Rattus norvegicus: one gene and its partners. The protein of the gene in region 3 interacts with the protein of the main gene of each other region in a pairwise test. Links are inferred from orthologs where the notes say so. Each region holds a gene or a part of one and is shown on either strand. Other genes may lie near its edges. The genes, in order: Mapk8ip3, Psd4 and Ldlrap1.

Region 1 (3,650 bases), on a different chromosome or scaffold from region 3:
TCATCTCTCTTAAACCATATTGTTTTGTGTTTTAGTTTGTCATATGTTTTATTTGATTTTTCTTTTTTAAAAAGTAATTATACATTAAGTTCTTTTTATTTCATGTTCCATATTTTAAGGTTTTTCTAATTTCTTAATTTTTGTTTGTTTTTTGTTTTGTTTTTTGTTTCTATATACTGTAGTGTTTTAACCAAACAGTTGTGGCTACTCATGGTGAGGAATGACCGCTAAGAGTGTGGGTTCTTTGCAATACATTTGGAGGTCACTGCTCCCCGTTGATGGTTTAGGAGGTTGAGAGGTTTGCCCTAGGTAAGTGGTGGCCAGGGGGTGTATCCCCTGGGTAAGTGTGGCCCTGTAGGATAACAGAGCCGGGGCACTGGGGGAGGCACAGCCAGAGGGCAGAATGCCCCCATTTTTACCAAAGGGTCACGATAGGCAGCAGACCATGGACACTGAAGGAAGGAGGTGTGAAATAGTGGGACTCATACCCCTGGCTTCTTCCTGGCCTGCTTGGAATTTCTTTTGTGCCCTTTACTGGGTGGCAGCAGCAGACGTCTACATCTGGAAGGTACCTGGATAACTCCAAAGAGAAGCAAACACAAGTCTTTTGAGAGCTACATCTCAAAAGCTCCATGTAAGCCATGCTTGCCTCTTTTGGCACTCACAAGGATATGAAGAAAAAAATGTTTCTCCCTTGTCATACTGGGCAGAAGCTGGATCCAGATACAGAGCTACAATTTTGTTACAGAGTCGTTTCCAAGATGACTGGACTGCATGCTGGTGTAAGGATTCTTGCCTCTGCATTGCTAGCTAGGACTGAATTGTGTTGGCTATGGGCCATTGTGGCCACTGTAAGTTACAGAACAGCATCTTGAGCTCCACTCACTTGATGCCGGGAACACCATCAATTCTGACAAGAGAGTTGTCCTTTGCCAAGCATCCCGTGCACAGTTGTTTATTTAGAAATAAAGCAGTGTGGTAGATAAAGACAGAACCTCGTCCTTTGAAGACATGACAGTCTTCAGTACTGAGGGACTAGTACTACTGCCTGGCAGTGGTCCAGTGAGTTGAGCAAAGGCATCCCCAGAACCAGCTCCGACCTCTGAAAGCCAGGGACAAACTGTTGAGTTCATATCTCGGCATTTACCCAGCTCTGCACAGAGCCATGTACTCCTTTTTCCTCACTGTATCCTGGTGAACATCCTCACCAACAGAACACTGTTCTGAAGGCTGCCCTCTCTCTGGAAGACCCAGGACAGTACATACCTGCGATGTTTAGTTGTTCTCCTTGGCCTTCACAACAAGCAAAGGGATTTGAAGGGCAGCTGTTGCCTGGAGTAACCAGGGCACCTACTCAGTCACATGTCGTACACAACTGTCAATAATAATTAATAGAGGAGCGTTTGGGGCAGTTTTCATTGTGACTGCCTAAAGTTTTATCAGGAAAGAGCCAAGAATGAAATGTGTGCTTCTTGTTTTATACCCTTCAGTTGAGTGCTGGTTTTCCTGTCACAAGATTTATAAGGTTAGCAGCTGGCTTCTCTATGAGCCTGAGTTTCCTCCAGAACAGTTCCCATTTTTTTTTTTTTTCTTTTTTCTTTTTTTCGGAGCTGGGGACCGAACCCAGGGCCTTGCGCTTGCTAGGCAAGCGCTCTACCACTGAGCTAAATCCCCAACCCCAACAGTTCCCATTTTATTAAAGCATAATTTGCATTGCTGTTCAGGGCTAAATTTTGGTTCAGCTGATGTGTGAAAAAAGCATTCAGGATCATAGGAGGTCCCAGCCATAGAATCAGAAACACTGTCCCTCTCTACCACTCTCCTCAGCCAGGGCCAAGCATTTGTGTGCTAGAAGTGGTTAAGAGGGAGTAGTAGTAAAGTGTTTAGTGTATGGCACACCTGGCTACCCAGTGCCAGGTAGCAGCTTCCTTATCCCTGGGTAGAGCCCTTTGCCCCATGCTAGTCTGCCCACAACTGCAAAGGTCACCCACTGTGTCCTCTACCATGTCCTCTGTGTAGCATCACATCAGTCATGATTGTGCTGGGCTATCCTAAGACAGATATAAGCTGAAAATCCCACTCATCATTGTTCAGGAGTAACTAGGCCCAAAGGAGATTCCTGCCTCTACAGGTGGGCACAGTGTTGTTTGTTTGTAACCGTGTAGCAGAGAAACAGAGCCATGGGGCCTCAGCAATGTCTCTAACCATGGCACCATGGCTTACTGTGATGTTCTTCCTTCTTTCTCTGTTTGGCTCTAGTGTCCAAACGATGAGATGTCTGAGTCAGGCCAGTCCTCAGCAGCTGCAACACCCAGTACCACAGGTACCAAATCCAACACACCCACATCCTCCGTGCCCTCAGCAGCTGTCACACCACTCAACGAGAGCCTACAGCCCCTGGGGGACTATGGCAGTGTCACAAAGAACAACAAACGGGCCCGAGAGAAGCGCAACAGCCGTAACATGGAGGTCCAGGTCACCCAAGAGATGCGGAACGTCAGTATTGGTGTGTAGTCTGTCCAGTGCCCCACCTGCCATCCCATCCCTGGTGAGAGGCCATGTACCCGCTGCTCACTGCCTCTCTTGTCCACACCTGAGAGGTGTTTCTTCCTTTTTGGGTTTAGCTTGAACAGATAGAATAACTAAGACTTCTATGGCAAGTACCACAGGTAGGCAGTTTAAATAGCTGTCCAACGTTAGGAGGACAAGGACCAAGGTGCAGGCAGTCTCTCCTGAGGTCTTTCTTGCTGGGCTTACAGAGGACAAACTCCCTGCGTCCTCACAGTATGTCTGTGTTCTAATCTCATAAGGACCCCAGTTGAGTGAGATGAGCCACGTGACCTCGTTTTATTTGATCACTTCCTTAAAGACCAGACTCCAAGCTGGTCAAGGCGGTATACATCTGTAATTCCCAGCTCTTGGGAGGTAGAGGCAGGAGAATTAGGAGTTCAAGACTAGCCTAGGGTGCATGAGATTCAGAGAGAGGGAGACACCCAGTTTTGAAACTTACACTGGCCAGGCCAGGAGTGAGAGCTCCCCTCAGCAGTGCACACCTGTTTGTTACAGGCTTTCCTCCCTAGACTCTGAGAGTTTCCATTCACCTGGGCAGTTGGGGAGAACCCTTTTTTCACAGTCATGTCTAGAAGAAGTGAGTGTAAATTCTGTAGATGTGGGGCAGAAGTTTTCAGGCTGTCTGCTCACACAAGGTTCCTGTGTCTGTACTAGGTATGGGTAGCAGTGACGAGTGGTCCGATGTTCAGGACATTATCGACTCCACCCCAGAGCTGGATGTGTGTCCGGAAACCCGTCTGGACCGCACAGGAAGCAGGTGCTCATTCAGACAGGCTCTAGATGAGGGATTCAGTGTGCTTGGTGGGGTGGGGAGTGGAGAGGTATCATCATATCCCCGTCATGTCTGTACACACATGGCAGGGTCATTAATCATTGGACAGGTATATCAGTCAGCTTCCTTAAATCATCAAGACAGAAGTGACTCGAGCCTTTAGTCAGAGCACTCGGGAGGCAGAGGCAGGCAGTCTCTGTGAGTTCAAGACTATACAGAGAAACCCTGTCTCAAAAAAACCTAAATAAATATAAACAATAGTGATCAGGAGGAGGCGGGTTGGTTTTGATTCACAAGACTAGGAGTT
Region 2 (3,650 bases), on a different chromosome or scaffold from region 3:
ACTTGTGACAAACCCTGATTGATATCAAGGCTCCTATGTCATTGTTCTAACAAGGGCCTGATCTACTGACCCTGTACAACAGGAAAATGAAGGATCCTGAGCTAAAAGAAACAAGATGTTGAAATCTCTCAAAAGAGTGGACAGGACTCCTAAAATAGACAGCTCTCTGGTGTGACAAAGGTCAGCTTAGGTTACTCTGTGACATTTGGGGATGCCTAGGAGGTAGGAGAGAAGATCCCAGAATCTCTTGGAATACCATGAAGGGAGAGGTTGCTTGTTCTCCGAGCCAGTCTATCTAGCTCCTTGAAGCTGGTGACAGAGAGATTACTGGCCTCACTTGCATCTGAGTTCTAAATGACATTATTGTACTGATAAAATGTCCCATTATTCTGAAGTCTATATTAATCAATCTTTGTGTGTGAGAGTATATATGTGTATGTGTGTATCAGTGTATGCATGTGTGAAAATATATGTTTATCTGTGTGTGTAATTATATATGTGTATCTGTGTATGAGAATATTATGTGTCTCTGTGTGTGTGCCTGTATATATGTTCATGCCTCCCTCCCCCCCTCTCTCTGCGTGTGTGTGTGTGTGTGTGTGTGTGTGTGTTGCTTTTATGTGAGCATGTTGAACATGTAGAAGACAGAGGTTATGGCCTCCTCTGTTGCTCTCCACCTTTTTTTCAGGTGGAGTATCTCTTACTAAACCTGGGGCTTGCTACTTTGGCTAGACTGGATGGCCATTGAGCTCCTGGGATCCCCAGCTCCACTCTCTTATCTACAGTGTTGGGTTTCAGGCTGTACATTGACAAACCCAGCTTTTATTTGGGTTCCAGGGATTCAAACTCAGGTCCCCAAGCTGGCGCGCGCGCGCGCGCACACACACACACACACACACACACACACATACACACACAGGTCAGTTTGCTGTTCTATTAGCTCAGATCTCCCAAAACGCTACGTTCTAAACAGTGTCCTGTGCCTCCCGAGGAGGCCCTCCCTGTCATGTCCCCACACAGCCCTCAGCTGGCTTCCTCAGCTAACTTACCTCACCCACCTGATCAGGAGGTACTATGGGAGCTCCTTCAGTGGATCCTAAGGCCAAGCAGGGGTGCATCTTATAGGAAGGCACAGGGAATGGAGGGGTGGAGCACCTACTATGGTCAGCAGTGTTGCTCCCCAAATCCAGATCATTTTCTTGCGTCCAGAGCCCTGTGCCTTCTTGGAGAGGAGAATCCAGGGTTTGAGGCCTATGAGGCCAGGTCTTCATATCTAGGTGGGAATTCGGGTAGCCCCAGGAAAAGCATTCTCCTTCAGTGCTGGTGTCTGAGCAAGGGCTTTCCAGGAAGAGGGGATTATCAAAGAAGATGCTGTCCTCCTCAGCACCCCACTCTGGGGAGGAGCCTGGCATTTTCTTCTTTGGCCAGGTCTGGTTCTCTTCCTCAGACCCACTGCTGTCATCCCCAGAGTCTTCATCCTCCTTGGGCCGACTGGGTTTCAGGCCCACATCACCAAGGAAGTCCTTAGAGGGCGGTGGAATACAGCATCTGAGTCCTGCTTTGAGTCCCTCTGTTTTCTCTAGCTCCTCCTCCAGGTCCAGGACACACATCTGGGCCTGCAGGATGCCAGCCCAGAATACCACCTGGGTGGATGAGCTCCGGTTCTGCTGTGGACTCCCCAGAGAGCTGTTGTCCTCTAGTGACCTCGATGATGCTGGGGCCTGGCTGGCCTCCCCATGCACCAGGCGGTTTCCCAGGTGACTGGGTTCCACATCAGAGTCGCCATGATGAGCATCAGGCCTGGCAGATTCAGGGGGGTCAAATGGCCAAGTATGTTCCTGGCAAGGTTCAGAAGGGCCCGGATGGCCATGCACTTCACTTGGATATGCTTCTGGATGGGGCTGTAGGTTGTCTTCCAAGCAAATATTGAGAAATTCCATGGGTCTGAGGTGGTCCCCCATCATCCACAGAGTGACAGTTGAGCAGAAGCCCTTGGTAGCACCTGTTTTCACAATCCCATTTCATGAATTATTAGGTCCACAAGCCAAGGTAGGAACTGGAAATCCACATCTAGCCTGTAAATGCACAAAGTGAGTGCATAGGAGATGGACCATAATCCACTCAAGTCCTATGTCCAAAGTGCTAGACACATTCAGAACCCACACCTGGGACATCTACTAAGGGACATTACTACCCTGTGAGTCCTGCTATGAGGAAGGGTGTAGCACACATGTCATGTGGCCTTACAACCTCAAATTGGAATCAGTATGCACTTGTTCCAAAGACACCCAGCAGCTGGCCAAAGGGTTCCAATGTGGCTCAGCATAAAAAGAATGCATGGATATCAGGCCTTTCTCTTGGGATTAAGAGAATGGAGAGACAGAAGTAGGTGTAGCGGGAACAGCTAGAGTACCTAAGGGCACCATGAGAGCAGCAGAACTGGGAAGACATATAAGCCAGAGTGTGAAGACTCAGACACAGGCTATAGAGGCAAGGAGAAAGGAGCAAGCTCACAGGAGCAGCAGGCACCAGGAGAGCAAGGCCACAGCCTGCCTTCTCCCTCAGAGTATGGGTCCTGTTTGCAGGCCTGCACAGTTCACAAGGCCAGCTCATTAAGTGGCTTCCTTATGTGCTATGCACAGTGGTGCAATGTAAGGCAGAAGCCCTACAATGTTCCCCACTCCCTCGGCCTTGTGAAGGACAAGCTCTAGCCCTCTGCTCCACCAAGAAGCATAGTGCTTGTTTCATGAAGTGGAAAGTCTTGACTTCCAGAGAGGGCGAGACCAGAAAGAAAGCAGTAGCCACGTGTACCCGAGGCTTCGAATGCGAAGAAACTTTCTGGTAAATCATTCCCTGTGGTAGTGGAGGTGGGCCCTCCTCAGATGTAGCCAAGGAACATGTAGGGATATTGCTGAGAAGCAGGACTCTCCACCATCTGTGTGAAACACAAGCTTATAGGGCTGCCAGAATGGCCCTGATTCCTCTTAGTGACTGGTTTGTTTTAATCTACTGGATGTTGACATTCAGGATGAACCCTGTTTCCCTCTTGCGCCAGCCCCAGGAAGTACAGAGGTACAAGGATGTATGACATACATGCCTTTCCAGCATTAAACACACCCTGGTTCCATCAAATATTTCCTTACATCTCACTTTCTTCTACTATAATTTTGTCTTGAAGACTGTAGGCGTGCCTGAAAGTTCCAGACACATGTGGGGACAGCGCGTGTGAACATGTGAGCTGAGCTCCCAATCCACAGCTCGAGTTGAATCTCATACAGACAAGAATGACAGATCCACCTATGCCCAAGTAGCTCCTCTTCACTAGCACACACACGTCCTGGCACTGGAAGATGACTGTGCACTTCTTGCCTTTCTGTCACACAGACAAGGAAACCAGAGCCCAAGCCTTAAGGACTCAGAGCTGGAAAGAGAAGCCCAGGTCTGACTTTAGACCCCCTACCTTTTAATGCACAACTTCTGCAGCCTTCTCTGCTGAGGGAACTTCCCCTGTGCTGCAGGGGATGCTGCTCAGCTGGTCTCCCTTAGCACCCCCCTCTTTGGAGCCTCTCCCAGGCCCGACTTCACACTGGGTTCCTATTCTCTGGGCAGGTGGTAAAGTGGATGAGATGGCTGTACCTGAAAGCCACAGG
Region 3 (3,398 bases):
CACGTTATGCATGAGAGAGCAGGCGGCCGGGCTTCGGGATTCATAATTTGAGACATCCGGCGGCTAAAGGCGTTGGCCAAATTTAAACCGAAAGATGAGCTTGTTGAATGTCTTTTCAAATTATGGGGGAAGAAAAGGAAGAGTTCTGTAGTCTGCTCTGGTCCATGGAGCCTTGTAGGAAATCTGCTCATCGGCTGCCATCCGGAGGCCCCACCTCTGCACACTTGAAGTAAGCCTATTGAACGGCATGAAGGCATCAATGCCTGAGACCCCCCCACAAGCCACAGGAAGAAGTGGCTGGGGGAGTCCCCAGACAGAAGCCTGTGGAACGTGAGGAATGTGGCCTTGCTCAATGGTCACTGAGAGTCTGGGTAGGACATGAGCGCCTGGATCACGGCCATCTCTTGGGAAATCCCTACATAGCAGGGTGAGGGTTGGAGATCTAAGATGGGGCGGGGGCGGTGGCCTTACCAGGCACTCGGGGGAGGACTGCTCTCCCCATGTGAGCATGATGCCCCAGGCAGTAGGTATCAGATGACATCTGTAAGTCAGCTGGCACACAGAAGTACACTCAGAGTGGCAGGCACTGTCCAGGAGTCCACTAGGACTTTACACATTCGATCTAAATGACCTTTTGGTCTGAGAAAACCTTTGAGCCACTGGATAGGTACTGCCAATCATGTGTTAAAGGGCAATGGTCTCATAAAACCCCAGGAACATAGGCACAGGAGACTGCTGTACCCTGTTTACAGACAGGAAAACTGAGGCTCAAGGAAATAGGTAACTGACCCATAGCAGTAGCTGGACTTTGGATGTCTTAAGTCACAGGACTCCACCCACCCATTCCTTTGCCTCTGTCCCCCTTCAACACAAAGCCACACAACTTGAATTCAAATTCCTAGCACGGAGCCCTGGTCCAAACTTGAGTAGCAGAGTAAACCTAAAAGTCTGAGTCACTGGAGAGGCATGGGGATACCACCAGCCCTGGGAAGGGGTACACATGGGCACACTCACTCTCACACTCGTGTCTCAGGGGTTCAGGCCTGACTAGAACACACAGTTAGAAACAGTGAGCGCTTATGTGCTGGCCCACTGGCGGGGTCTCACATCACCCAACAGCGACCTTGTCACAATGGCAGTCTACAGAGAAAGAAAGGTACCCTGCTGGCCCACCAACTGGGGACCTGCCATCACCCTCCATTCTGGTGCAGCAGCCTACCCCAGTCTCTTGACATAACTGCTGCCCCCATCACGGAGGGCAGAAGCCATGACGACCCTGCCCTTTGTCACCCGCAGCACCCCAGGCGGTGCTCACACTTAGAAAGAGAACATTTATTGTTTCCTACTCAGAAGCCCCAGCCTCACACAGCAGCACCGGCAGCAAGCACAGTAGCCCCCCTTGCGCCCGGACCCCCGCCGCCTGGGCTGGGAGCAGGCCCCGGAGCTGGCCGGAAAGGGAGCTAGCAACCTTTATTCTAGCCGGAATTCTCCAAGTGCCCTCCCCAAGGCACGGGTTTGACTCAGCCACTCAGGAAGAGTGTGTTTTTCCCGGGGATACTGAGACCTGCTTTCACAAGCCCGGCCGGCCACTGGGGGCTCCTTGGGATGGAAAGATGGTTGTGATTTGGCTGTGGTTCAGGATGCCAGAGCCTGCGTAACAGCGAAGGGAGAAAAGAGAGACTAAGGGAAGCTCACCACTGGACCTCCCAACCACCACCAGCTAGGGCTGAGGGACCTCTAAGGCTGCAGGTCAGGAAAGGACAGCGAGGTGTTTCTAGAGCAGGATTCTGTTTCACCCAGGGAATTAACAGACTTCCAAACACATCTGCACAGAAGTCAGCCACGTAGCAGCTAGCAGGGCATGGCGGCCTGCGCCAGCGCTGTGTGGAAAGGCACCAGACGGTTTGTTATGAAACACATTTTGGTCAGAAAATAGCTGGGGCGTTCTGGTTCCTGGGAGGACAACAAAGCCGGAGAGAAAGAGGCGTGGGCTGCAAGGCGGCAGCACAGACGGCAGCTTTGGTATCAGATCTGGGTTCTATTCTCAACTCCACCGCCCCCCACCCCAACGTGTTGCCTCAGTTTCTTTATCTGTAAAATGGATGCAAAATATCCTGCCACAACCTAGTACCAGGCTTCGGTATCGTCCCAGGAGTTATGGGGAGGCAGAAAACGGAGCACGCACAGGGACATACAGACAAGACAGAAGAGCAGGCCCAGCTTTGTCTGTTTTGGGGGCTCCCAGGAGCCACAAAGGAGATCCCTATGGTTGCAGTGACTCTGGAGTCGTAGTCAGCTGGTACACTAGGTCCTAGCACTATGTGGACCATGTCAGGGACTGGGGCCCTCTTGTGGAGGGAGGGCAGGAAGCAAACTCTACTCCTAGAGCACCATCACGGACCTCGAACCACGTCCATTACGTCCATTACGTGAGAGTTAAAGTGCAGATTAAATGTCTTTGGTCAGGGGCTGCCTCTTTGAAAGCCTCAGCTTCTCAGCCCTGAGGAAGCCGAGCTTGAGGACCCCGACTTTCCTGAAAGCCATGTCCCATCCAGCACACAAAGAACGACAGGCTCCTACTGCTTCAGGAGTAAGGATGCCCCAGAGAAGAGGAACAAGCAACACTTTGGTCATTGTCTGGACACCCACAGCGGGGATACTGGCTCCAGGAGAGAGGCCAGGAGGCCAGCCCTGCCCTGCACACACCATGAGCACCTGAATTGAACCTGGTTTCCGAGCATAAACCAGGAGTCATCAACCAGATACCCCAGGCATCTTTCTAACCCCTCTCCCTGCGTGACTGTGCAACTCAAATCTGCAGGCTCTGACGCCACTGGCCAAAGGCAGCTGATGGCTCCTGGGGCTGGTTGTCCTGCTGCAGGTGGCTGGTGGTCCACCACATGGCTAGGCCAGCCGTGTACTGCCAGCCTCAGGCCCTCAGAAGCTGAAGACGTCGTCTTGATCAAAGCCACTGCTGTCAGGCTTGTCCCAGTCAGTGGGCGATAAGCACTGTGCGTAATGGATATCCTGTGCTGTCAGTCCAGTGTCCAGGACTTGAGGGTTTGTCCGTGACTGCGCCAGCCTGGAAGGCAAAGCTGCGTAAGCCAAGCATCAGGTGAGGGGCTAGCAGGGGCTAAGGACAGGGGTAGCCTGGACAGCACTGGGCCCGAAGGGAGGCCATGAGTCGGGAAATGGCTGGACTCAAAGATTAGCCAAGGAGGTAAAGCCCCTGACAACAGGATGCGCAAGAGAGTCAGAGCACTGGGGCAGGCCACAGAACCCTGCTCTAACAGAGCCCAGGTATCTACCAAGCAGTTGTAGGCAGAGAATGTTCAGCCATGAGAAGACTTGGCGAGAACACAAGGAGACATTACTGATTTGTTTGTTCCATCTGCCTT

Evidence for each region.
Region 1: the proteins of Ldlrap1 (region 3) and Mapk8ip3 interact in binary tests that used the Homo sapiens proteins (3 or more experiments, as listed by UniProt). The two-hybrid records come from large-scale screens. The link is inferred for Rattus norvegicus from reciprocal best matches to the Homo sapiens genes LDLRAP1 and MAPK8IP3.
Region 2: the proteins of Ldlrap1 (region 3) and Psd4 interact in binary tests that used the Homo sapiens proteins (3 or more experiments, as listed by UniProt). The two-hybrid records come from large-scale screens. The link is inferred for Rattus norvegicus from reciprocal best matches to the Homo sapiens genes LDLRAP1 and PSD4.

What each region holds. Positions count from the first base shown.
Region 1 is NC_086028.1:14,438,748-14,442,397, reverse strand, and holds part of Mapk8ip3 (C-Jun-amino-terminal kinase-interacting protein 3), read left to right. Parts: intron 1-182; exon of another isoform or gene 183-309; intron 310-315; exon of another isoform or gene 316-641; coding exon of another isoform or gene 642-782; intron 783-2,259; coding exon 2,260-2,506; intron 2,507-3,225; coding exon 3,226-3,328; intron 3,329-3,650.
Region 2 is NC_086021.1:27,555,792-27,559,441, reverse strand, and holds part of Psd4 (PH and SEC7 domain-containing protein 4), read right to left. Parts: intron 2,076-3,650; exon of another isoform or gene 2,057-2,075; 5' UTR 1,965-2,056; coding exon 1,050-1,964; intron 1-1,049. UniProt on the Homo sapiens protein: Guanine nucleotide exchange factor for ARF6 and ARL14/ARF7. Through ARL14 activation, controls the movement of MHC class II-containing vesicles along the actin cytoskeleton in dendritic cells. Involved in membrane recycling.
Region 3 is NC_086023.1:152,238,656-152,242,053, forward strand, and holds the end of Ldlrap1 (low density lipoprotein receptor adapter protein 1), read right to left. Parts: intron 3,083-3,398; coding exon 2,938-3,082; 3' UTR 641-2,937; downstream 1-640. UniProt on the Homo sapiens protein: Adapter protein (clathrin-associated sorting protein (CLASP)) required for efficient endocytosis of the LDL receptor (LDLR) in polarized cells such as hepatocytes and lymphocytes, but not in non-polarized cells (fibroblasts).